Linked DNA regions of Drosophila melanogaster. The protein of the gene in region 1 interacts with the protein of each later gene in a pairwise test. Each region holds a gene or a part of one and is shown in the gene's direction. Other genes may lie near its edges.

Region 1 (7,410 bases):
TAAGTTCACTATAGAACAAAGGCAAAAATGGACTGGATATATTTTATATTTCGCATACCTAAAGATTACAATAATAAAAAATATTCTCACATTAATATTGCAATTTTGTTTAAATATGTAATGAAATTAGGTACTAGGGCAAGCGTCAAGCAAACATCGATATACCCAGTGCAAGGAAATTTCAAACAAAACTCGTTTCACATTTTTAGAGTTTTTCTCGAGTCGTTGTGCCAGTTTTTTTTTTTTTGCCTAATAAATAGCAAAAAGCAATGTGACGATCGACTTAATAAGTTATTCAGCGCATTCTCCTGCAATTCCGCGTACGCATTGTACTTTCTTTATTGCACTTCGACTTTCTTTTGGGCCATGTTTGCTCAAAACTTGACCCAATTCTCGGTTTTATGTCCGTCGATTTGATAATGAGGAGATCATTAACAAATTTTCATTGATAAGGAATAGCTGCACTTGAAACTCGAGATTTCTTATCAACAACAACGATCGCTTATGCTACCCTACAACAGTGCGCCATAAACATTAGTTTTTTTTCATACATTAGAAATAACCAAATAGATTAACCACTTTCCATAGAAAGATTTACTAAACACTTCCTGAACTCCCAGGGTCACAAAACGTTTTCATTGGCAAATCAGTTCCGCTTCTCGACTGCAGACACTTAAGTTCTTGACTTTCACTTGCTCATTAATGGCTATATTTCAATGGGGCACTTCTAAAACATTATCAGCGGGTGCAACCTCTCGAGTTGAACTTCAAAATGGGCACGAGGACCGGACCAGATTTGCAGCGCCACTTAATTGATGCAAATAGAAATCAGAATCAGAGTTTTTCGCTCAGATAACGATATCACTCGACATTTGCCGAGATGCGTCCTTTGGAATGGAAAATTTTTAGACTCGAACGCAAACATGTTTTGCAAATGCAGCTTGGAATTTTCCATTGACATTCACAAGAATTGTAAAGTTAACCCTGAATCTGGTTGCAGATCCAAGTCGATTCATATTAATTTTTGTTCAATAGCTGCAGTTGTTTTTCCAACGCTCCAAAGAGTATGAGATATATGAATCATTATGTTTTCAATATAGGAAACAATTTCAATTTTAAACTTTCTTTGATCACTGAATTTCAGAAAGTCTAATAAGCATAAGATCTTAAAGATAGACTTCATAACTAAATTGGCTTGGGATGTATAATGAACCGAACATATACCTATAAATATAAATATGCTTGATATTTAATCCGAACAGATAACAATTCAGGCCCAACTTAGTTTTAAGTCAGTTCAATCTGCTTTGGTTGGGGTTTTATTTTAAGGAGATTGTGCCTTCATAACGTATCCGGACAGGAAATACCTGTATTATGCGTACTTGAGCCGAGAACACGTTTATCGTATAACATTTAAAGAGAAACATTAAACAAATGCGTCGGCCGTCGGTTCATTGGCATGCAATCGTCAAAAAATGTGTCTGGCACGTTACCAAAATGCTAATCGCTTCAACTTTCAATACGTTCTCTCAATCTGTAGAAAACCATACTGGATAGCATTTCCCAGGAAGATGATACCTTCAAGGGTGAGGGCTACACCAGCCTGGCCATTATCTACCTGTTCTTCTCGCTCTCCAATTGGCTGGCACCCTCGTTCATTTCGTTCACCGGACCACGAGTGGCCATGGTCGTGGGAGCACTGACCTATACGTGAGTATATACCCCCCCACCGGTCCGACTCATACATTTTGGTACCTAAAACATTTGAAACTCTTTTGCAGAGCCTTCATGATCACGTTCATGTTCCCGTCGACGGTATTGCTGTACGTGGGCAGCGCAGTGCTGGGATTGGGTGCCTCGATCACTTGGACGGGACAGGGAACGTATCTGGCGCGCTGCAGTGAATCTTCCACGATTTCCCGTAACTCTGGCGTCTTCTGGGCCCTGCTGCAGTGCAGCATGTTCATTGGGAATCTGTTCGTGTACTATCAGTTCCAGGACAAGACCCGCATCGACAAGGAGACACGGAATCTGGTCATCGGCGTGCTCACGGTAATTGCTGTGCTGGGCATCGTGTTTCTGGCCGCACTGAGATTCATGGCCGATAATGCCGAGCACGACAACGAGCTGGAACAGAAGCACACGGGCTGTGGACAGGCCATATACGCATTGAAGTCCGCAGGACAATTGTTCCTCACCAAAAAGATGCTGCTCCTTAGTCTGGCCTTCTTTTACACAGGTGGGTTGGATTGTGGTCAAAACTGAATAGAATCAGAGATACTAAGTGCTTAAACATAACTTTCTAGGCCTGGAGCTGTCATTCTTTAGCGGAGTTTTTGGATCAGCGATTGGATTCACCACGAAAATAGCCGAAACACCGAAGGAGATCGTTGGACTGGTGGGCATTTGCATTGGAGCCGGCGAGGTCTTTGGAGGAGGACTATTCGGCATACTGGGCAACAAGACGACGAGATATGGACGCGATCCCATCGTGATTGCCGGCTATGTGATGCACATGGCAGCCTTCTTCATGACGTTCATCAACCTGCCGAACAGTGCACCGTTTAAAGATACCACCGATATATCCTATCTGGACCCGCCCCGAGCCAGCATCGCCTTGGTGTGTGCCTTCCTTTTGGGCCTGGGCGATGCCTGTTTCAACACTCAGATCTACTCCATGCTTGGCGGGGAGTATGTGAACAATGCCGTGGGAGCCTTTGCCCTGTTCAAGTTCACCCAGTCGGTGGCGGCGGCCATTAGCTTCTTCTACTCCTCGCACTTCGGGCTGTACGTGCAGCTGGGCATCCTGGTGGTTATGGGAACCATTGGCACCATTGCCTTCGTCTTCGTAGAGTGGGGCTTCAAGCGGCAGCACCGCGAGCAGGAGGCGTTGGAGAAGTAATTCCGTTGTGGGACTCAGAGGATCTAGAGTATTAGATGCAGGTTCTTGTTAGAACTCTAGGGCTAGGGCCATTTGTCCGTGTTTGTTAAATTCCTCGGAATGCTTTAAATCCGTGCGACTGCGTCGTCTTCCTAGACAATAACTGATAAGTGTTGTTGCGCGCTATTGTTGCTAAATATACGTATTTTAATGTTGGCATTCCAAAAAACGTAATTGTAATCTAGTTGTCTATGTTTTTATATGTGTGTATTGTATATGTGCGTTTATTTATTTTAAGCGGCGATTGTGCAAATATAAGATAGTAAACCACAAATTTGGAGTATTATAAGAAATATATAACGAATTTTAAGAAAATAATAGTTGTTATGGATCTTACTTGTGTGCTACTCATTAATAATAGAATTTTGTGCTTTTATTTCATTTTTCAACTATTTGATATATTTTTGAACTGCCTAGATTTCATACTTTGAAATTCGCACACTCGATTACGATGAGTCGATATCTTTTAAAATCGATAGTACCATGTGCAACTATCGGTTGTCTGCCCATGAGCACTCATTTCGCCCATTCCTAAAAGAAATCATTCAATTTTGAAAGACTTGAATGAAACCATGAAAAATGGCCAAGAATAAGTCGACTGTGTACCTAGGATACGAGGATGAGGAGGTTACGGCCAAGCAGGAGCAGCTCCTGAACAGTTGCACAAACAAAATCGGTGGCACACCCGTAAGATAGGCGATTGCATCGACTTCAATAGAGGCAGCGGATAATTGAAATTGATTTTTACCCACAGGATTGGCCCAGACACGAGGTGACCATTCCGTCATGCCCGCTGTGCGGTGCAGTGCGTCCACTGATCGTGCAGATGTACGCCCCGCTGGATCGCTCCCAATTCCATCGCAGCCTTTACGTTTTTGGATGCATGAACCCAGTTTGCTCTCAGAATTCAAAGAGCTGGTGTTGTGTGCGCACTCAGCACCTGGACCACCAGTACGAGGTGATCAGTGAGCATTCGCCGAAGGCAACGCCAACTAAGAAGCAGAACTCCAAAAAAAAGGGGAAGTCGAGCGGATTGCAGGCTATCAGCTGGTGTAGTGGAGCGGACGACTGGGGCGACAGCAGTGGTGGAGCAACCGAACAGGCCAAGACCATCTCCGTGGCATTGGACGAGGCTATGGACATCACCGCGGACGACGACCAGAACGAACGGAATGGCAATGTGCGACCGAATGCCCTGCAGTACGCCAAGTCAGACATCCAAATAGATGAACCAGCCAAACTTGAGCAGGTAAAGATTGCCGCCGATGATGACGACGACGAGGACGAGAGCACTTCGCTGGAGAACGAATTGATCTCTGGCTTTCATCAAATGGACATGATCTCGCCGCAAAACGCCGACGATGATCCAAATGCTAATTGTGCAGCGGCCGCCGCTCCCAGTTTGGATGGAGCTGGAGCCAGTGCCGCCTCAGCGGCCATTGGTGCTGAGATCGAGGGTCCCGAAACGGATCTGGTGCTGGTCGACACGCCCAAGAAGCCGGAACGCGACCTGATTGCCTTGTTGAAGCACACCTCGGGTGCGCTGTCGCAGATCAAGGACCTAACGCTAAAGTCTTACTATATTGCCGTCGATGTAGAGAACAAGACCCAGGCGGAGGAGTACGAAAACTTCGGAGGCGCTTTGTCCATGGACCACATTCGTGATTTGTATCAGGAGTACAAGCTGAGAGACCAGAATCCGGGTCAGTCACCGACCGGCGGTGCATCTGGACCAGGAGAGCAGGGCGATGAGAACGAGTCCTACGAGAAGGCATTGCCAGCCCATGGCGATTTGGTGTTTCACAACTTTATCACTACCATCCATCAGAATCCGGGCCAGCTGTTGAGGTAAACATTGTACTTCTATCCTCATTAACTTTCCTCTTACCCAAGTTGTTCTGCTTCAGATATTCGCGGGATACGATCCCGCTGTTGGTGGCCCCGTTCACGGAACCTCTGCCCAAGTGCCAGAATTGCAGGGGAGAGACCATCTGCGAGGTGCAGCTGCTGCCCACACTGATTCCCAAGCTGCGGTTCCAGGTGAACGGTTGCAATGCACCAATCGAGTTTGGCAACGTGCTGGTCTTCACCTGCCTCAAGAGCTGCTGGGACACACCCGACCTGATGCGCTACGAACATATTGTGGTTCAGTCTGAAACTTAAGGTGCCGTACACGGCCATTTCCCAAAGCCATTAGAGTCATTCGCTGTAGCCGCTACGATTGCAGACTGGTGCAACGAATTTTAAACGCAAACTGCAGAGATAAAGCTAAGCTTCTCGATTGTCCTAGGAAGATTTTATGCTCTAGTTGTTAAGAACGTTGTAAGCTTTTAGACACTCCAAAAATGGATAGTTGCTAATAATATCTCGTTATTTCCACTCCCCCTCTAAAAGGGTTTCAAAACATATTGTTTTATTTCCAACTTGCAGAAATCCATTCTAATTCTAATTAACCTAAGCCAATGGTGCATCAGCATCAAGATGGTAGCTCTTTACGGTTGAGAACCTCAGCGCCGGATATTTGGCCTCGGTCAAATCGAACTCGGAGCTGATGTCCACCTTGTTGCGCTTCTGCACGAGCGTGTAATGTGACCAAACCAACTGGGCGCATCGGCGCTTGGTGGTGCCTGCGATGCGCAGCTCGATCAGGAACTGTGAGGAGTCCTCATCCACTGGCATGATACTCCCTCGCCTCTGCCGCACGTTAGCCGGCCCTCGCTGCTGCGACTTTTGCAGCACCAGAGTGACTGTGCTCCCGAAGAGACGATAGCGACCCCGAAGCATTTCCGCCCGTACGTTGTTCACGTGCTTCAGTTTGGATACACCTTGCGCCGGCTCATCGGCAGTCGTCATCATCAGCACCTTGCCATCGGGCAGAAAGCGAATGTAGCGATAGTACTCCACCAGTTGCACAGGACGGTAGAACTGATCCTGGAAGCTGTTCTCGCCCATTCTCAGGTACGTAGTCTTGCTGATGTAGCAGCCGTTGAAAAGAACTCGGTCTCGGCGGATGAACATGTCTCGCCAGGAGTGGAACACGTTGCTTACATCCGAATCCTGGGCCTCTAGAGTTCCAACGTTGTGGCCCCATACTCTATACAGAAAATTACGATAGGTTCATTGAATCTTAGGCGTTATTTGAAAGAGTAACTTACTTGACACAAGCTAGCCTCCAGAGCTCCTCATCCCGCGCGTAGACATAGAAACCTTTGCAAACAGCAGCGCACTGCTCTAGCGAGCGCATGTCCAGTTGGGCGGAAACCACCCAGCGCAGGATGCGCATCACAATCTCGGGCGGCAGGTCGGCAAAGTGCAGACCGGTGGTCAGGACATTGGCATCACGGCTGGATGCTATCATCTTGCCATTGTAAATGTTTTTCTGACGCAAATCATGCTGGAACTTTTCGTACAGGTTGTCCACGACCTCCTCCCCATCCGACTGACCTAGATCCAATTGCTTGGCCAAATCGTTAGCCAGATTGAGGTACTTCTTGCTGACATCGTTGCTGAGCTTTTGCTTCTGCTGCTCGTAGAACCTGAACTCAATATCCGGAACGATTTGGGTGGCCTTCCTGTAGAAGGGTAGTGCGTCGTAGACCTTGCCACGCTGCTCCAGCTGCACAGCGGTCCGATAGAGACTCTCCGCCTTGGCCTGCAGTAGATCAGCCTCGCTGAGATTGGAATTGGCCGCCGTGAGGCGATCTCCAGCCTCGGAATGGCTCCTGGATCCAGTGTTTGTTGTGTGTTCCTGCAGCTCCCGCTGCCAGTTCTCCCGGAACTCATCCAGTGCATTGGTGCCCGTTTTCCGGGTTGGCTCCTCGCCATCCGAGTCCACATCCGACATGATTAGAGCTAGAAACTAGTCTGCGAATGCCAATCAGATCGTAGATTATAAACATCTGCGCATTTATCTAACGCAATTTCTAACCTGAAAGATTTTAGTATTCGATGTGGAAAGGTACGGAAGTTGGTAACAAAATAGAACTTATAATAAAGGGCCGCGCGTATTGCTGATTTTGGGCGCGGGCTTCACCCCAGAATTTCGTAGTTGTATGCAACTGGGAGCAACATGTGGCCATTGGTAAGACCCCAAGATTAAGAGTATTCAAATACGCAAACGAGAACACTTCTACACTAATGTTATTGTTTACAGTGTGCACGCATTTGCTTAAGAAGTAATTCTTATAAACGCTCTTCTTTAAACATTGACTTACTGATTTCGTCAATTTCAAAAAGGTTATATTTAAGCGAAATTCTCCCAAAATGTGCTTCTAATTAGTATTCTATAAAGATATTTACAATTACTAAAGATCAATTTGAAAATCGATATCATATCATATGCATATTCGATAAATATTTAAAAACAGCTGACTTCAACGCGGTTCTGTTTTGTTTTGGTTGCTCATTTGCTGATTCGCACTATCAGCAGGTAAAAAGTGATATTAAAAATTAAAGTGGTTTATTAAAAT
Region 2 (8,079 bases), on another chromosome or scaffold:
CCCGGCTGAGATGCCACCCCCTATCAGCCCCCACCGCCCCCCCTCGACAACCGTGTAATCCGACCGCAACTACACATGGCAACGTTTATTCGGAATTCCATTTTACATCTGCCCCGGATCCGCCAAAAGTGCGAAAATTAAATGAGCCACAAGTCGGAGCGAAAGGACGAAGGACCTCCACACCTCTGTTTGTGTAGGTGTTTTTCCTAGTTTTCCTGCCCCTGTTTGCATAAATTTTTGCCCACTTCTTTTTGCCAAATGTTTTTCGAGGATTGAAAATTGCCTAAACCGTCGTTTGGATCGCATTTGGGCATATATTTGCATTTGCTTTGCGGTCTGGAAATAAACGAAATGGAATAAGTTGACCGGGCAGATGATGGCGAAAAATATCGGAATAAGCGAAAGTGAAACTTAAGAACGGTTTAAACTTATTTAATTAGGATCCATGAAAGGGCAAAATTCTAGGAACACAACGTAATCATTTGCATAAACGTAGAACTGCAATAAATATTATTTGCGCCCAAGGTTGCGATTTTGTATATATTTATTACAAGAATGCCACTCACCTTCATTTCAATCAATATATTTATTTTCTAGAAGATTGAAATCAATAACCATAACTCTTTGGGAAATGTACTGGAAAACCTTGAAATCTATATCTTTACTTATGTTAATTACAAATGACTATTTGAAATAAATAGTCAAGTTATACCATAAGTTCGATAATATAAATGCTTATACTATCCTACTAGAATAATTTAATATTTTGCATATAAGAGTATAATTACATATAATTACCTCCTGAAGCATTAGTGAAGCATCAAACAGAAACAACTCTATGCAATCTTCCTTATTAGCTGCCGCCAACAATTAAAGCCAAGTTAAGCTCGGTAGCTTAGCAATTAGGTCCAGGACAGTAAGTTGTCCAATGGCTAAGATCAGCCGTGGGCTTAAGCAGAAAAATGCATTAAACAATGGCTAATATAGCATGTCTGCTCAATTTCAATTAAACGAATCGAAACAAAACTATTTCAACCAACAAGTTAAACGTTGTTCCGACCATATCGATGCGCAGTGGCTTGAGTGACATGTCCTAATTCGTAAGCGTTGACTTTTACCGGCATTTCAATTAACCCAATTAATGGACGGGACCTAATTAAATTTTGAATTCATGTTGCCAGCAAACGCACACTCATCCAGCTGCCTAGTTGCCCCGCACACAGATACGCCGGCACACACACCCTCGCAGGCGAACACACAGACATCAGTCAGCTGTTTTCTGCTGGCCAGCTGTCGTTCGAGTGCGAAGGAGATGGCGCGAAAGCCTCGCAATTCGGGGGTGGTTGGGGTACTGTTGGGGGTGGCAGAGGATGGTGTTGGATGGTAGCAAGGGGGTGGCTCGCTGTAACAAGTATGTACTAATGTCGGCGTCTGGCTAACTGAGACACGGCTATGAATGAGTGCCCCAAACGGAGCAAGCGGGCCACTGAAACTGTAGCTCGATGACCTTGATTATACAACACAGCAGCAGCGCCACCACCCCCCAAACCAGCTCAAACTCTACCAGACCCACAAGCAGCCCTGTTCGCAGCAGGGCCACTCCTTCAAAATACCCTACGTCAAATAAAAATGGCAAAAAAGTAGTCAGAGGCTACAGACACTCGAAAAAATAATAAGGAAATCTAACTAAATTGTACAGTAACACAATATGTTTATGATGTTAAACTTAAAATATTATAAAACTAGATTGTATCTCTATCACATATTCTATATAATTTAGAAATGTGCACATTTAAGTAAAATAATTTACCACCACAACTCATCTTAAACTTCTTCCTGGCCTACAGATAAGCATTCTTCAAAATTGCTTAAACAAGCTTTTCTTCGAGTGCACCCCAAGAGTCGGTGATGGTAACTGGTAACTGACATTACAACAAATCATCGGCCAGCAAATGTTGGCAACTGGGTGCCAAGTCAACGAACTGCTAACCGCAACACAGACACCGACCGCCACCCACTCGAACACATATATAAATTGCCGTACGGGGGCGTCATTAAAATTGCAACAGGGCCTTGAAGGAGCAACAGAGCAACAGGGGGGGAGGGGGTGGAGATTGGAGCGCTCCCCAAAAGACCAGAAGACGAAATCAAAAGATCAATAATTATTATGATGTTGCAGCACACCCGAAACGAGACGCCTTCAGACCGCAGAGCCAAGTCAAGACGGGCAGGTGAGACAAGGGGGGCGGAAAGGGGCGAAAAGGGGAGCCCCAAAAGCGGAGGGGCTACAGCCGAAAAGTTCGACAAGCGCATTACAACAGTTCGGGGGTAGAAAGACAGACGACGGATGAAGAGTGGGGTAGGGTTGGCCAGGGGGGTGCGCTTGCTTACAAGTGCAACCATTTTGTAGTACAAACTTCGAAAACCAAAAGCGAAATTGGCAAAACAAAAGGCCAGCGAAGGGAGCGAGGATGTGGGCCCACCTCCTGACTGCCTCCATTTGTGGATTGTGGATCCCGCAGCCACAGCTGGAGTCGGTCATGCGCACTCCGTCCAACCGATTGGCCCGCTTCGCCGCCATTTAGAAAAGGCCCACCAAGTGGAAGCGAAAGAGATGGGCTTGCTGCCAGAAAAGGACGGAGCGTGAGAGCGCTGCCCGCAGAGCGAGTGCGACAAAAACACCTGTTCCTGTTTCGAACTCCCCCCCCCCTGCAGGCCGTCAGTCCATCGAGTCGGCTATCCGCTATCGGCTATCCGAGAAGTACACGCAGAACTGGCTCGGAACCGGTTGCAGCTGCACCAGTGCCACACCAGTTCCCTACCCTTGCGGAGCGACGAGCTAGTCGCACTGCTCTCGCAGGCAGAATGTATCTGCGAGATACATTTCGGGGTGAGTGGCTGGCTGGCTCGCTAGCTCGCTGGCTCCCTGGCGTGCGGATAACGTACGGCAAACGGAACGAAGCGCCGACCGGTTTAGTCGTTCAGCAGTCTCCGTGCAGTGAGCATGTTTGTGCGCCAGACATCGTCGTTGGTCGGTTGTCGTCATCGCTACTATATAGCCGTCGTATCGCGAACATCGACCGTCTTAGCTCGATAGCCGTCGGATTTGCCTTTTCGGATGCGAGAGACTCTTAAATCCCTCACCATAGATCCAAATCCCTGCGAACAAAACGCGTGTGCGCACACGGATCACACAGCCGTGATAATCCCGCTAAATTCGCCGAAAACCCAGTGCTCTGTGTCCCGGTCTCATATTGAGTAATTCAAGCAAACTTCACGGAATAAGTAAACCAGTACAAGTGCCTTACACAAATATCCCTGCTCAATGCCGGAAACTTCTTGAGTACGGCCCAAAACGAAAAGGCGCCCGCTCTCAAGATTCCCAGCCCACAAATATCTCGAGTGTGCTTCGCCGAGTGTCCTGTCAGCCAAATATATGGTAATGGCAGAGATTGGTGGCCATTTGGCTCACCAGCTACCGTTGCACAATCACAACCACAATCAAACTGGATTACAGCCATCGCTGGTGATGAACCATCACCTGGATTTGGATTGCCATGGACACGATGTGATAAGTGAGTACCGATATTCAAGGGCTGCTGGCTTTCCGATTTCGGGCTATTTGGGCTGCATCCTTGAAAAGGACGATATTTAATACTGGAGATAGCACGATCACTTACCTAGGGACAGTCTTAAAAAAAGAACAATGGAATGCCCTTCCACAGTTTGGATATGAGGCTATTGTATCTTCTAGATACATTTGTTGGTTCTAAGTACTTTCGGTCTGTTTAAGAAGGCATTACAGTTTTTTTCCTTAGTTCCCTTAGATTTAAAATTTGGATTTAAATAAATGTCCTGACAAATAACTTAGAGGCTAATAGGGGTTTAGTCTAAAAAAGCGCTTTGTTGATCCACTGTAAACCAAGATTAAATTGCATTTTAAATCAACCTATTCAGAAATTGTATACCTGCAATTGAAACATCATTACATAGATCACGCATCAGTGTCGAATCATTTGCCGCTAATAAAGCTATTTAAAGCAGTTAATGACTTATTTATGGCTATTGTCCTAGTCCCCAAACAAAAATTGGCAAATTAAATAGTCATTAAACAAGAGCCACTGATGGGTAACTTTCTCGATTCGTAAATATGGAAAATGAACGAGGAAAGCCCGCTTTGGACATTAAAAGCCAATAAAATAAGTAAAAAGCCGTGTTAACAAATGCTCGCACCCAAATCACAGTTGTAAACTTGTCTTGCTTATTTTTGAAACATTTTAATGCCCACCATTTTAAATTCCAGATATCAGAGATCAAGGCTCGGACTCAAAGGTTCCGAGCTTTAAAACCATGAACTGTTAGTCAAGTTTATTTGTAACGAAGGTCGAAGTTATTTTTATACCAAAATCATTAAAAAGTTCAGGCACGCGTTGAACTCTTTCATACCTTGAGTTTTTAATTTTGCCAATGGATGTGATGTGAGCAAGGCTGCGCTAAAGTAATTACAAACAAATTAAAGTGATACCAAGAAAATACGAATCCATAAATAATTTTTATTGTGCCATTCTTTTGTCAAATTGGAGGATCTTTTTTTTTGTATATTGAACGACTTTCTGAGGTTCTATCTTTAGGTTCGGGATTTCTTTCGGGCCACAGTCGTTAGCCGACTTGTCGCTGCAGCTTTTGTAATGGGCTTAGACCCTATCTCGACCTGTCACTTGTTGTTTCAGTACGGCAATAACTGTTAAATTATAGCCGTATTTTATTTTAAGCACACTTTACATATTATATAGAAGCCAATTAACGGTTGAATGACATTTTAATGCTGAGCAATTAAGCGCGCAAGCAAAGCGGGCAAGCAATTGCATGAAAAAAGCTGAAAAGAGCTGGAAATGTATCACAAATGTATCTCATGCGATAATGTGACAAATTTTTAACTAGCCTAAAGTTTGTTAACCAAAATGCATTTTATGAATTCATAAACCAAGAGTGTCATTAAAAAATGCCATCCGTGTGTGACAGAAAGAGGAATATATTTTATTCAAATTTTATTTCGTATGCTAAATTGTGACAAATGTTTTGGCTGACAGTTGTCTAACCAAACGAACGACCGCAGAACACAAAAAAGCCAAACAAAAATTCCGAAAAAAAAAGGAAAACATGAAAAATCATAATCATAAGCACATATACTACATACAATGGGTTCGGGGAAATTGAATTATATATGAGGCTGGAATAATGCAGCACATGCAGTTGTAGCTGCGAATCATTTAAATTGCATTGAATTTTAGTAATTGTAATTTAAATTCAAATTAGTTGTCGGCCATGGAGCGCTGGTAAATATTTAATGTCCGAACATTTTAATTTGAAAACTTTTCACAAAGTTTCCTCCCCATCGCTCTGCTTAGTTGCTCTGTGAGTTAGTTGGCGGCTGACAAAACTTTAAGTTAGAGTTTTCCAGCTTCAAGTTGATATTTGAAATGAAAACAATTTTTGTAGTTTTCGTTTCGTCCCCCCCCCCTCTAGTATCAGCCAGCTCCACTCTCTTTTGTTAGTTCGCTTGGTTCCGAGGCGAGTTTTGTTTGTTTGTTGATTTTTGAGCGCTGTAAACATTTTAATGAGTTTTCCATGTCACAGACCCAGGCCTCCAGTCAACATGTCGTTGGCAACTTCTCAAGTAGTCGTTAAATTAATTAAATATAGTAAAAACAAAAAGAAATCGCCATCTGAAGTATCTGAAGAGCCTTTGTTTACTCTCCGTGCTCTATAGAAAATTATGTAAGTCCGAGATCGCTGCATACATCAGGGCGTTGAACTAGTTTCGGTTTTTCATGTTGGCGGCTGCCATAAAATTGTACCACTTTATGTTGAAGACCATCAAAAATTGACAATTATTTGCGGCCATAAAAGCCAAGCGATTTTTATTTTTATAGTTAACCAATTAGCCAAAAATTTGAATAAAATGCGAAGCGGGGGTGGCACGGATTTTCCCCTTACTCGTCGTACACATGTTCCCTAATCTAATTCATATTAATTCCATTTAAATTTCTCGCCAGCAAATTCACCGAATGCTAATTGGCATTTTCGATGAATAAACACAAAACCTTTCGAAAGTTAATTGTGAAAAATGGATTGGGCAAATGTTTAGCCAATGCACAAAAAGTTGAAATAATTTTTCGAATAATTTGTAAAGTGTCAATCGTCGGCCATATAAGGTTAAGTCGTCTGCGAACGAAAGAGAATGGAACCGAGTTTTCAGATGAGGCTGGTTATTTAGCCATAGATCACCGATCTCAGATCTCTTGGTTATTTATAGAGCTGCTGAAACGTCAGTGAAAGGAAAAGATGTTTCGTATACGCAACGCGATTCGATTTAGAGTGCCATAAAATTAACTATATTACCATTCTAAACATGCTTCGATCGATTTCGTTTGGAGTTTTTTGTTGTTTTTGATAGTTTCGTATTGGAAGATTCACTGGGTTAAGGTTGGAAATTGATTGAATATTTGCTTGAATAGTCATAGCGCTAGGTTTGTTATTCTTTCATATCATTTTTTGGCCTAACTTTAAGTGCATAACAACACAAAAACAATACGACAGTGGTGACGTCAGGAGGGAGCCACACCCATTAGTTCGAAAAAGGCAGACAGACGTTATCTATATTTTACGAGTTCCTATCCAAATTCCTGTTGTCCCTGGCTGACATTTTTTGCTTGCCTTCCCGTTTCCGGTGTGATTTTTATTTCGGAATCCCTGCTGCTGCTGCTTGGGGTGTGATAAAGTTATTTAGGCGCAATCCATAAATTCCCGACCTGAACCCAAAGGCCCAAAAAGGCAGCGCAGACAGAAACGTAAATCCCAAAGCTTATCTGATTTTGCACTTCGGTACCCGGCACTAGATCAATATGTTATGTTGGCCGGAGTTTTGGCTTGGCCCATACCTGAGATTCGGACCCAAGACAGCAGTGCGCCTGCGCCCAGTGTCACCAGTCCAGTTCCCCCTCGCCCTCGATATTCCCTGACATCATTTGAAATCTGTGCCCGATGTGCCAAAAAAAAAATCAGGTCTAGAAGACAGTTGGCAGCCATCAAAACAACTCTCAGCCTCCTGCGTCCAGGTATTCTCTCAATTCACCTCAGAGTCTTGGCTGCTTTGCATTAATTAACAGCTCGCTGGGTCGAGAAATTAGGGAATTATGCCTGGAATTTCCGTTCGCCACATAAAAACAGTTGTCTGATTAACTGATTAGCTTAGAAAGAGGCTTAGATGATCATGAAGATGGGCAGAAATAGTGGGTGCTTGAAAATTGCATCACTGCAGGAATGGCAATTACAATTCAAAGTACACATTATATATTAAGTAAAACTGTAGAATATTACTTTACATTCAACACCATTTATTTAGTTTGCCCTCAAAAAGCAAAGCCTTAAACTTTAAGTTTTACGAGCACTTTAAGTCAAGTGGATGCTGCTAACTTTAAGTATCGATGTGATTGCACAGCCTCGACCTGATTAAAGTACTGACTCGAAAAAAGGCTAAATATTCCATATTCCATGTTATTTTCGAGCTAAAATGTTTTTAAAGCCCAGTGATTCCGTCGAAGCTCTCTAACCTAATTAATGCAATTCAAGATATTCTTAAAGCCCTCGCCTGCTGGAATTGGGCATATTAAAGCAGCCGCCTGACTATTAAAGTGCAATTAAATTTTTTTTTTAATTCTCCGTGCCTTTTTCCCTCTCGCATTTTTGAAAAGTTCATTCAAGGTGTCAGCAGCTTGTCAAGGTGAGAGGCGGCTACTGTTTGCTCGGCTGTAGAAAAATATTAAATTTCAGCTGGGGAAATCGCCGCGAGAAGCCATGAGGGAGAAACCAGAGAAGCGGAGAACTGATAAATGTGCAGGCCAGAAATTAGTCGGGAGTTAACCAGGCCACAAAATAAGGGAACAACTGACGGCCACGCCCGTTTATCGCGTGAGGACTTGGAAAACAGGAGGAGCCCCAGAGCTCCAGGGCGCGGGAAATCGAGGGAAAGGCGAAAGGGAAAATGGGGGAAACTCGTGCCTCTCTCCAGGCGCTCAT
Region 3 (7,950 bases), on another chromosome or scaffold:
ATATTAATGGCCCACAAGGGACCTTCCATTGGGCCATCATCATTTGTGCGATTGATATACATGTTCCGAAATTGATTGAGATTTGATTTTGGGAAGTGTTTGGCAAGATGTCAGGAGTGACTTTTAGAATTATATCCTGCGGATTCGGTAAGTCTGAAAATATATACTATATTTTAATGAGAACTTTAAAAGCAGTTTCCTTATGCAAAATTACTTATCCTTGATGCTTTCGACTTTGATCATTTATGAATTAATCGAATATGTTTAATATTTAAGGCTGCGAAATACCAAATTCAAGGCACTGACAATAGAATCAGTCTAAACAATACGCCATATAGTCTTCCCTAGCCAGATCCAATTATTCCCTGTGTTTCGCATCACCTATTGATCTGCAGATCCTTTTCCATGGCATTTCGCATGATCCTGGGCAAATAAGCCGATCCGAGAGCCTCTGGTCCTTGAAGTGCCTGCCTGTCAATGGATGCCAGCTTTTCACGGCGATCCCAAATCAATCAAAGGATCTGGGTCCTGTGAACACACACAGACACACCAATACCAAACCCCACCCCCTGCCATTGCCCGCCAGGCATATCGAGTGGGAAAGCGGAAGAAAAGGGAAAGCAGTGGAAATCGAAGGAAGAAGGACGAAGGACGAAGGAGCCAGAGGGAAGCTCTGAGCAAATACAAATTCTAAATTATGGCCCATAATTCAGGGCCAGGTTTTAATAATTTTGCGCGCCCCGCCGGCGAAAGTAATGAGAGAAAGCAGAAGCAGAAGGTGAGGGAGCAGAGGAGCTCGCCTAGCCGTGCTAATCCCCGAGCGAACAGCTGTCCGGCCCAAGGATTGTGCATTGTGGGTCCCTATGTGTGATTCCTCGGATTTCCTCAAAACTCGGCCGCTCTGTCCTGGCGCTATCAGTGTGCGGCTTGTGATTCAAGATTACCTTTTCCCTACCCACTTTTCACTTTATCTAGATGTCCTTGCCGCCGCACGTTTCTCCAACGATGGCCAGCGGAATGGGATCCTGCACAGAGAGGAAAAGGATATACATTAGTTTAGATTTATGGGCACATATTTTATTAAGATTATGCGGAAACTTCAGTTAACTGGATTATTCTAGTAACAGGCATTGAAGAATTGTTTGAATATTTACTATATCATTCAAGACTGATTTTTAACCATTTTCAAATCAAATATTATGTATTATACAGAAAGATTCCATTAGCAGCCAAAGTTTGTCTTCTTTTTAAAATACCTATAGTACTAAAACTTTTATTTATGAAATTGTTGTTCAAATTCGAAAAAACCCAGAGCTAGATTTTTTCGACGTGTGTAAGAAAATGCCATTGATTGGGAAAAGCGATTGGAAAACGGTAGCAAATCGGAGCGTGAAGTCTTAGACTTATGAAAAATTGCACAATTGTTGGGCAATTTATTAGCGGCTGGGCTGGAGGAGGAACTGGATGATGGGAATGAAGAAGCGGAAAGGGGCTCCTCCTGCCCTAATTTATCTTCCTTGTCACCCTCTCCTTATTTTTCTTCGTAGCCTGCTCTGGCTGTCGCTCATCGATCCCTTCGGCATTATCCTTGGGCCTTTTTGGCCAGTGACCAATGCGTTAAATTGCCATTGATTCGGGAAGGACTGGCACGGATTATTATTGGAAAGATCACAGATCTTCGGGCACGCAGCTGCTGCTGGCCATCTTCCTTGATCTCCGCCCAATATTATTGATTTATTTCAATTTGCTTCGTTTTTTTCCCGAGATTTATCGTTGGTCACTCAGCTGCTGATCCATGTCCAGAATATTCACGTTTTATCCATATGAATGGTATGGAAAATTAGGGCCAGTTCAATTTGGTCTGGGAAGGTAGTGCCCCCCTTCCGAATGTCAATTTAGCGAAACGAAGGTTTGAGATTTATTTGAATAAACGTTTGTGGGAAAAAGTCGTAAAGAACTCAAATTGGTTCAATATGTCTAATATATATATATGCAGCAATGATTTTTCCTTAAAATAGGTGGATATTAAATACTGTATTAAAAAAGAAAACGTTCTGTCATCTTATGATGGTATTTAACCTATGAAGATGTCTTGTATTTTTGGAAATTCCCTTTGGGACTGATATATTTACGATCTCATTGTTTGAACTCGATGAACTCACAACACTTGAGCATATTTAATTGTGCCACCACCAGTTGCAATAAATTGTATCCTATAGCACTTGGTGGTCCGGAACTGCAGTGTCATATGAAATGCTAAAGCAGGTCCTGGCACTTCCTCAGCGAACAAAAAGTTGTGTTTAGTTTTTGCACAAAAACTGTCAAATAAATTTAGCAAGCAATAATATGGCGAAAGCAAATAGTAAAGATTCCAAAACTGAAGAATTGGGCAGATGTACGGTTGAGATTTAATTCTATTTTTCTCAAACGGACAATCGGCGGCTGCGAAAATATCATAAATTTGAGATCAGCAGAGAAAGCAGGAGGGAAAGTGAGGGAAGGTAGGAGCAGGACGGACCGGGAGCCCTTTAACCAATAAATTGCAAAACAATTGCACAATTTTCCACAACAATTTCCACAGGACAGCGATGTCCCATAAACAATGGGCCAAATTTGTACAATGCCCAAAGTTCCTGTTTGTGTTGTCCTTTTCTTGGCGAAAATCGTGAGAGAAGGAAGGAAAAATCGGAAAGAATTGCCTTGCTAGGGTCTAACGACTATAAGATACCTATTATTTAAACCTTTTATATATTTATGTTAGAAAAAGTTGGCAAATGATGCAAAACAGTTTCATCAATTAAACTAAATAATTGTAATCATTATTCCGATGAACTTGTTTAAACAACAACAGAAAGTCTTTTCAATATCAAATGAAAAACTAAAAATCCTTTAAGACCCAATGTTTTGTTCTAACTTCCTGTAACCCACACAATCACAGGTCTAGCATACTCTCAGGATCCCAAAAAAAACACAGGGTATCTTGAGGAGTCCAAGGTGAAAGGAGCCACACGCTGCGAGAAAGGTAATTGAAAATTATGTTTTGTGGCGCAAGCGGCGATGAGAACAGCTGTCCAACTATGCTCCGTCCCACTCACACGCTTCACAAGCGCCGTCCCTTTCTTGTTGCACGTAGGAATCCTTGGCCAACTGATCATGATCCTTCTCGGTGGCCAAATAAAAAATCTCACGATCGTGGAAAATTCGCACAGCTGTTGCCAGATCGTAAATCGATCGGTAAACGGTTATAAAAACTGAACATCAAGATAACGTTAATGTAGATCAAAGCGCAGCCTTCTGCTTTTCAATTTGTATCGCATTATCTAATAAATAGAAATATATTAGATAGTTTTGGGAAGTACGAGTCTACGAGAAGAGGTAATTGTATATATATATATATATATATACCAGATTCGATAAAAGGTATTGAAAGGGTATGCTTTTAGTTATAGTTGTTATCATGGGAAAAGTGAGAAATACGAATATTACAACTTATTTAAATAATTTATATTATTATCAATGTTGCAAAGTATCTTGCATAAGTTATTAAAGTCAAGTGGACTGATATCAGATGCGAAATACCTTTAATTACTATAACAACGAGTGGTCTCCCACCACCCGCTTTCAATGCCGCCGGTTGAACGTGCCTGCCGTTCAACTGCCTGATCTCTCCGCTCTCGCTCTCTTCCCTCTGCGCATGAGCAACATGTCCGTTCGTCGCCTTCTGCTTTCTCCCGGTTAAGGCGGCTAGCCAGTCAGTCAACCAACAACCGGCGAAGGGAACGCACGCAGTCGATCTTTGCCAGAAAAACGCGACGGTTGAAACGCAACACTTGGCAAAAAAAAAGCACTACATATACAAACTACCAAATAATCAATTCTTAAAATAAATCCGCGAACCATTTATTTTATTTTTTTGCTGTTGGAAATAAATATCAGTGCCGAAAAAAATAAACTACTGAAAAAGGTAAATTCAAGTGAACATCTAAAGATGACTGAAACTAAAAATGCAGTCATGTACAATGAGATCTAAAGGCTCATAAAAATAAATGGATATACCTAAAATAAATTACTTAAGTGCCTGTAAGATTCATGAATTCATTCATTAATGGTTATGAATATCTTTTCAAATAATTCCCAACATAACTGGATCAATGCAATTATAAATGCACAAAAATTCAATTTTTCGGATAACTTGTGATTTTTGGTTTTTTGGTATCCACTCAAGAGCCAAATTTGAATGCAACCTAAAAGTTCATTAAGATTTCATAAGAATAATTGAGCATATCAAGTTCAGAGTCAATTAAATTATTAAGGTCCAGACCAAAGGCTGCCCGTCGTCCATTTAATTGTCCGTGAGAGGAGTGGTTGATTTCGTTTTTGATTTCATTTTTGCCGCTTCGCTGATTTCGCCAAATCGATACACATCCATATACATATGTACATATGCATGTATATATGTATGTTTGTCTACATGCACATTTATCGCGGAAAAAGCGCGCCAAAATTGCCGAAAACTCGCCCGACAACTTTGCCGCTGCCCTCTTTATTTATTTGCTCCTTAAGAAAGTCAAGTTCTGGAATGCCAGAACCAGAAATACCCGCCCCCTTCCTAACCAGATTCCTTTGCTCTTTCCTTGCAGCACCCACTACAAAACCGAAAAACTAAAACTTCAGACAAAGAAGATGCTCAAGTGGGCCGTCAACCAGCCACGACCCTCGTACTTGGCCAGGGATGAGGTGATGGCCACCAGCAGCGAGGCAGTCGGCTCCAGCTACAGCGAGTTCCACGCCCTGCGTGGCAAACTCAAGAGGAAGTCGATCGGAGTGGCGCCAGGCAAGGAGAACCAGCTGACCTCCACGCCACTGCCGGCCAGCTCCTTGAGCCTCCATGCGCGCACACCACTGCTCAAGGACCTCAGCAACATCCTGGCCACGCCGCCATCGGGAGGAGCAAGTGGCGCTAATGGGGCAACTGGAGGTGTAACTGCTGTTCCCCTGAAGTTCGCCTGCACACTGCCCACCTTCGAGGCGGAGTACTCGCCCAATGCCGCCATCATTCCTGGCTCCCTGATCGCCCTGCGCGGCATGGGCATCCCGGACAGCTACTTCGAGAAGCCGCGTTACCTGGAGCAGAAGCCACTACCACATCCGCATCCGCATCCAGCACCTCCGACCGGCGAACAGAATACGCTCAGTTCCAGCCAGATGGGCGATGTGACCCTGGAGCGCATGATCGATGCCATCCTCGAGAGCAACCGCAAGGTGCTGCCCAACGCCAGACAGCAACAGCACCAGCATCAGCACCGCCAGCCCAGGCAGCATCTCCGCCAGCGGCACAGGCTCAGGCAGCAGGTGCTCCGGAGCAGCCACGGACACGGGCACGGCCCCACCCAGACGCCATCGCCCACCTACCGCCCCGCCTTCGATCCGGCCAGCGATCTGTGCGAGTACTGGAAGTCGCCCTCGCGGAGGGATTCCCTGCCAGCGGAGGGCTTCGAGGAGCGGGAGGTGCGCTCCCCCGTGCCCACCGTATCCGAATCGCAGGATGCCAAGCGGCATTCCCTGCAGCTGCGCAGGCAGCGGGTGGTGCGGCGCAAGCGAAAGATCACCACAAAGATCTCCTCCAGCGTCAGGCAGTCGGCGCAGAAGCTGCTTGCAGCGGCCAGGTCCGGATCCATAGCAGCTCCCGCCCAGAAGATGCGCCACATCAGTCCGGACAGTGGGCACAATTCCACCAGCGACTGCGAGCTGGAGGAGGAGCACTGCCAGCTGAGTCGCGGACTGGAGTTGGGTGGCGAGGAGCTGGAGGATGCCTGTCAGCTGGATGCCATGTGGTTGCAAGTGCAGGCCAGAGACGCCACGAAGAGACGCCTCAGCTTCTCCCTGGTGGAAGAAAGCTAATCCTCAAGGATATTCCTATACCATAGGCATAAGACATTTTTTTCATAGCCCTAAGAACGTTTTTTTTTTTTTTAATTTTTTGGCCAGAATAAATCATTTGGAATGCAGAATGTACGAAAAGAACCAAATTCACTGAGGGGCACACTGTCATAATTCGGTTGAAACCACAAGGAACCACCAGCAGTTTATGCTAAACACCTCTTGAAGCTCAGCGGTGCGTGGAAAGCAATTCCTCCAGAGCAGAGGGTCTGGGTCTTCTCATCCGTCTGCCCAAGTGGTCTTCTTTCTCACAGCGAGCTGGTTAATGAGCGTTTTAATGCTCCGATAGCGAGCTATAGGGGATTCCTCGGCAACATGGAACATAGAACTTGGCGGTAATGAGGGCCCTAAAAGGAAGGGGTTGTGCGACAATTGTCGCAAGAAAAAAAATATTATTTACGCTTCAAATGCCCACGAATTCGATGGGCAGGCAGCCAGCCAAGTTATGTGCGATCTAACGCGATAAGGTCTAGTACCTGGAAATGGAACAGGTATCACTTGCTCGGAACTCCATTCGAGTGTTATTAGCTCAAAGCGACCTTTGGAAAAGGAAGTTGCCTAACTTTCACCCGGGAAACTGCGATTTACCACTGCTTTCAGCGGAAACTATTCTCTGAAGGTATCATAAAATCATAGTGATGAGTTATGAAGCAAACCCAGTTTCGTAGATAATCCTTACATAATTAAGATACAAAATTTGTAGCCCAAAAACGAAATATAACTCGTTAGCGAACGGTTTGTATAACTAGGCTTCCAGCTGAGATGGAACCTAGGCCATTCCCACAGCTCCCGCTCCCCAAGGATCGCATCCCGCCGTGCGAGCCTCATTAGCCCATTAGCCAACTGGTCAGATGGATGCCAAGGAGCCCGGCCAGGCACCAACCATCCAAGGCCATGCGATCGATGGGTCAGCAATCCACTTCTGCGACGCGGCGTTAAATGAGCTGTCATAACATTTTGTCCAACCCTTGAGACGAAAGGAGTGGGTTAAGCCAAAAGCGTTAACACGTCTGCCAAGGAACCACCAATCCACATTCACATCCACTTCCCATGGCAAATGCTCAGTAGAGCGTGAAACTTTCTTATGCAGATGATGGGTTGACCATCAGTGCAGAGTACATTGTGCCATGTGACAGGGAAAACAAAGTAAAATACTTTATTATGTGATACCCGGCGAACTCCAGAACTCAAGTTTCGATCGCCGAACTAAGGTCGAGCGGTCAAGCAGCCCGCTCCAGGGAATATTCGTGATATACATGCAAATGTACATATGGATAACCCGCCGAAATCAGGGCAGGTCCCTTGTCAAACCCTCGTCCGCGCTCTGAACTTTTCCCAAAATTTCCCAAAAGGAATCGTTAGAAGAAGAAGAAGGTTCACGCCGTTGTAGTTACTTTATTTTTTATGACTCTCGCTTTTCTTTAGTTTTCCACAATGCGCTGCTCTGGTCTCCTGCCCATTATTATTATTATTATTATTATTATTATTATTATGGTTGTTGTTGTTGTTATCTGGTTCTTGTCCGTCCGGCTAATGACCGCTTCCGAATTGTTCCATGTTTTCATTCGTCAGCGCCCAGTTTTCCCGCTCCGGACGGCAACGTCTCATTAAACATGCATTTCTTTAATTTCGTTTTGATTGAAAGTGAAACGGATACTTACCCCTAGTAAGTACCTAGCTGGGATTCTTGCCACCACATATCATATCATTTTATACATATCTTCCGGTTTCGGATGGTTGACGAGTAATGAGTGGAGCGTTAGTCGAAGCAGAGATCCATAACGATAGGGAAAATCTGAAAATGTACAAATAATTAAGTGCGTTTCCTTAAGGTTTTATAGCTAACAAAATGTGTGCGTTTAAATGCGATTATAACCTACTTTAAGAATATAGTTTTATTATAATTGTAGTTTCTTAAAGTTTGCTAACAAATTTTTAATTTCAACTATATTTTTCTTTGACTGAATCTTTATGATACCAAGACACCTAATTGATATATGAAACGTGTCA

The links.
Region 2: the proteins of trus (region 1) and tup interact in a two-hybrid assay, tested with the Drosophila melanogaster proteins (one large-scale study listed by BioGRID).
Region 3: the proteins of trus (region 1) and CG12708 interact in a two-hybrid assay, tested with the Drosophila melanogaster proteins (one large-scale study listed by BioGRID).

Annotation. Positions count from the first base shown.
Region 1 is NT_033777.3:12,453,104-12,460,513, forward strand, and holds trus (toys are us), read left to right. Parts: upstream 1-3,469; 5' UTR 3,470-3,520; coding exon 3,521-3,628; intron 3,629-3,695; coding exon 3,696-4,789; intron 4,790-4,848; coding exon 4,849-5,104; 3' UTR 5,105-5,341; downstream 5,342-7,410. Other genes in the region: CG18549 (uncharacterized protein), read left to right, coding at 1,541-1,710, 1,782-2,239, 2,307-2,902; CG5961 (uncharacterized protein), read right to left, coding at 5,396-6,035, 6,097-6,785.
Region 2 is NT_033779.5:18,876,153-18,884,231, reverse strand, and holds the start of tup (tailup), read left to right. Parts: upstream 1-2,970; 5' UTR 2,971-3,436; coding exon 3,437-3,575; intron 3,576-8,079.
Region 3 is NC_004354.4:15,671,724-15,679,673, forward strand, and holds CG12708 (uncharacterized protein), read left to right. Parts: upstream 1-3,752; 5' UTR 3,753-3,964; exon of another isoform or gene 3,965-4,080; intron 4,081-4,640; 5' UTR 4,641-4,683; coding exon 4,684-5,901; 3' UTR 5,902-6,014; downstream 6,015-7,950.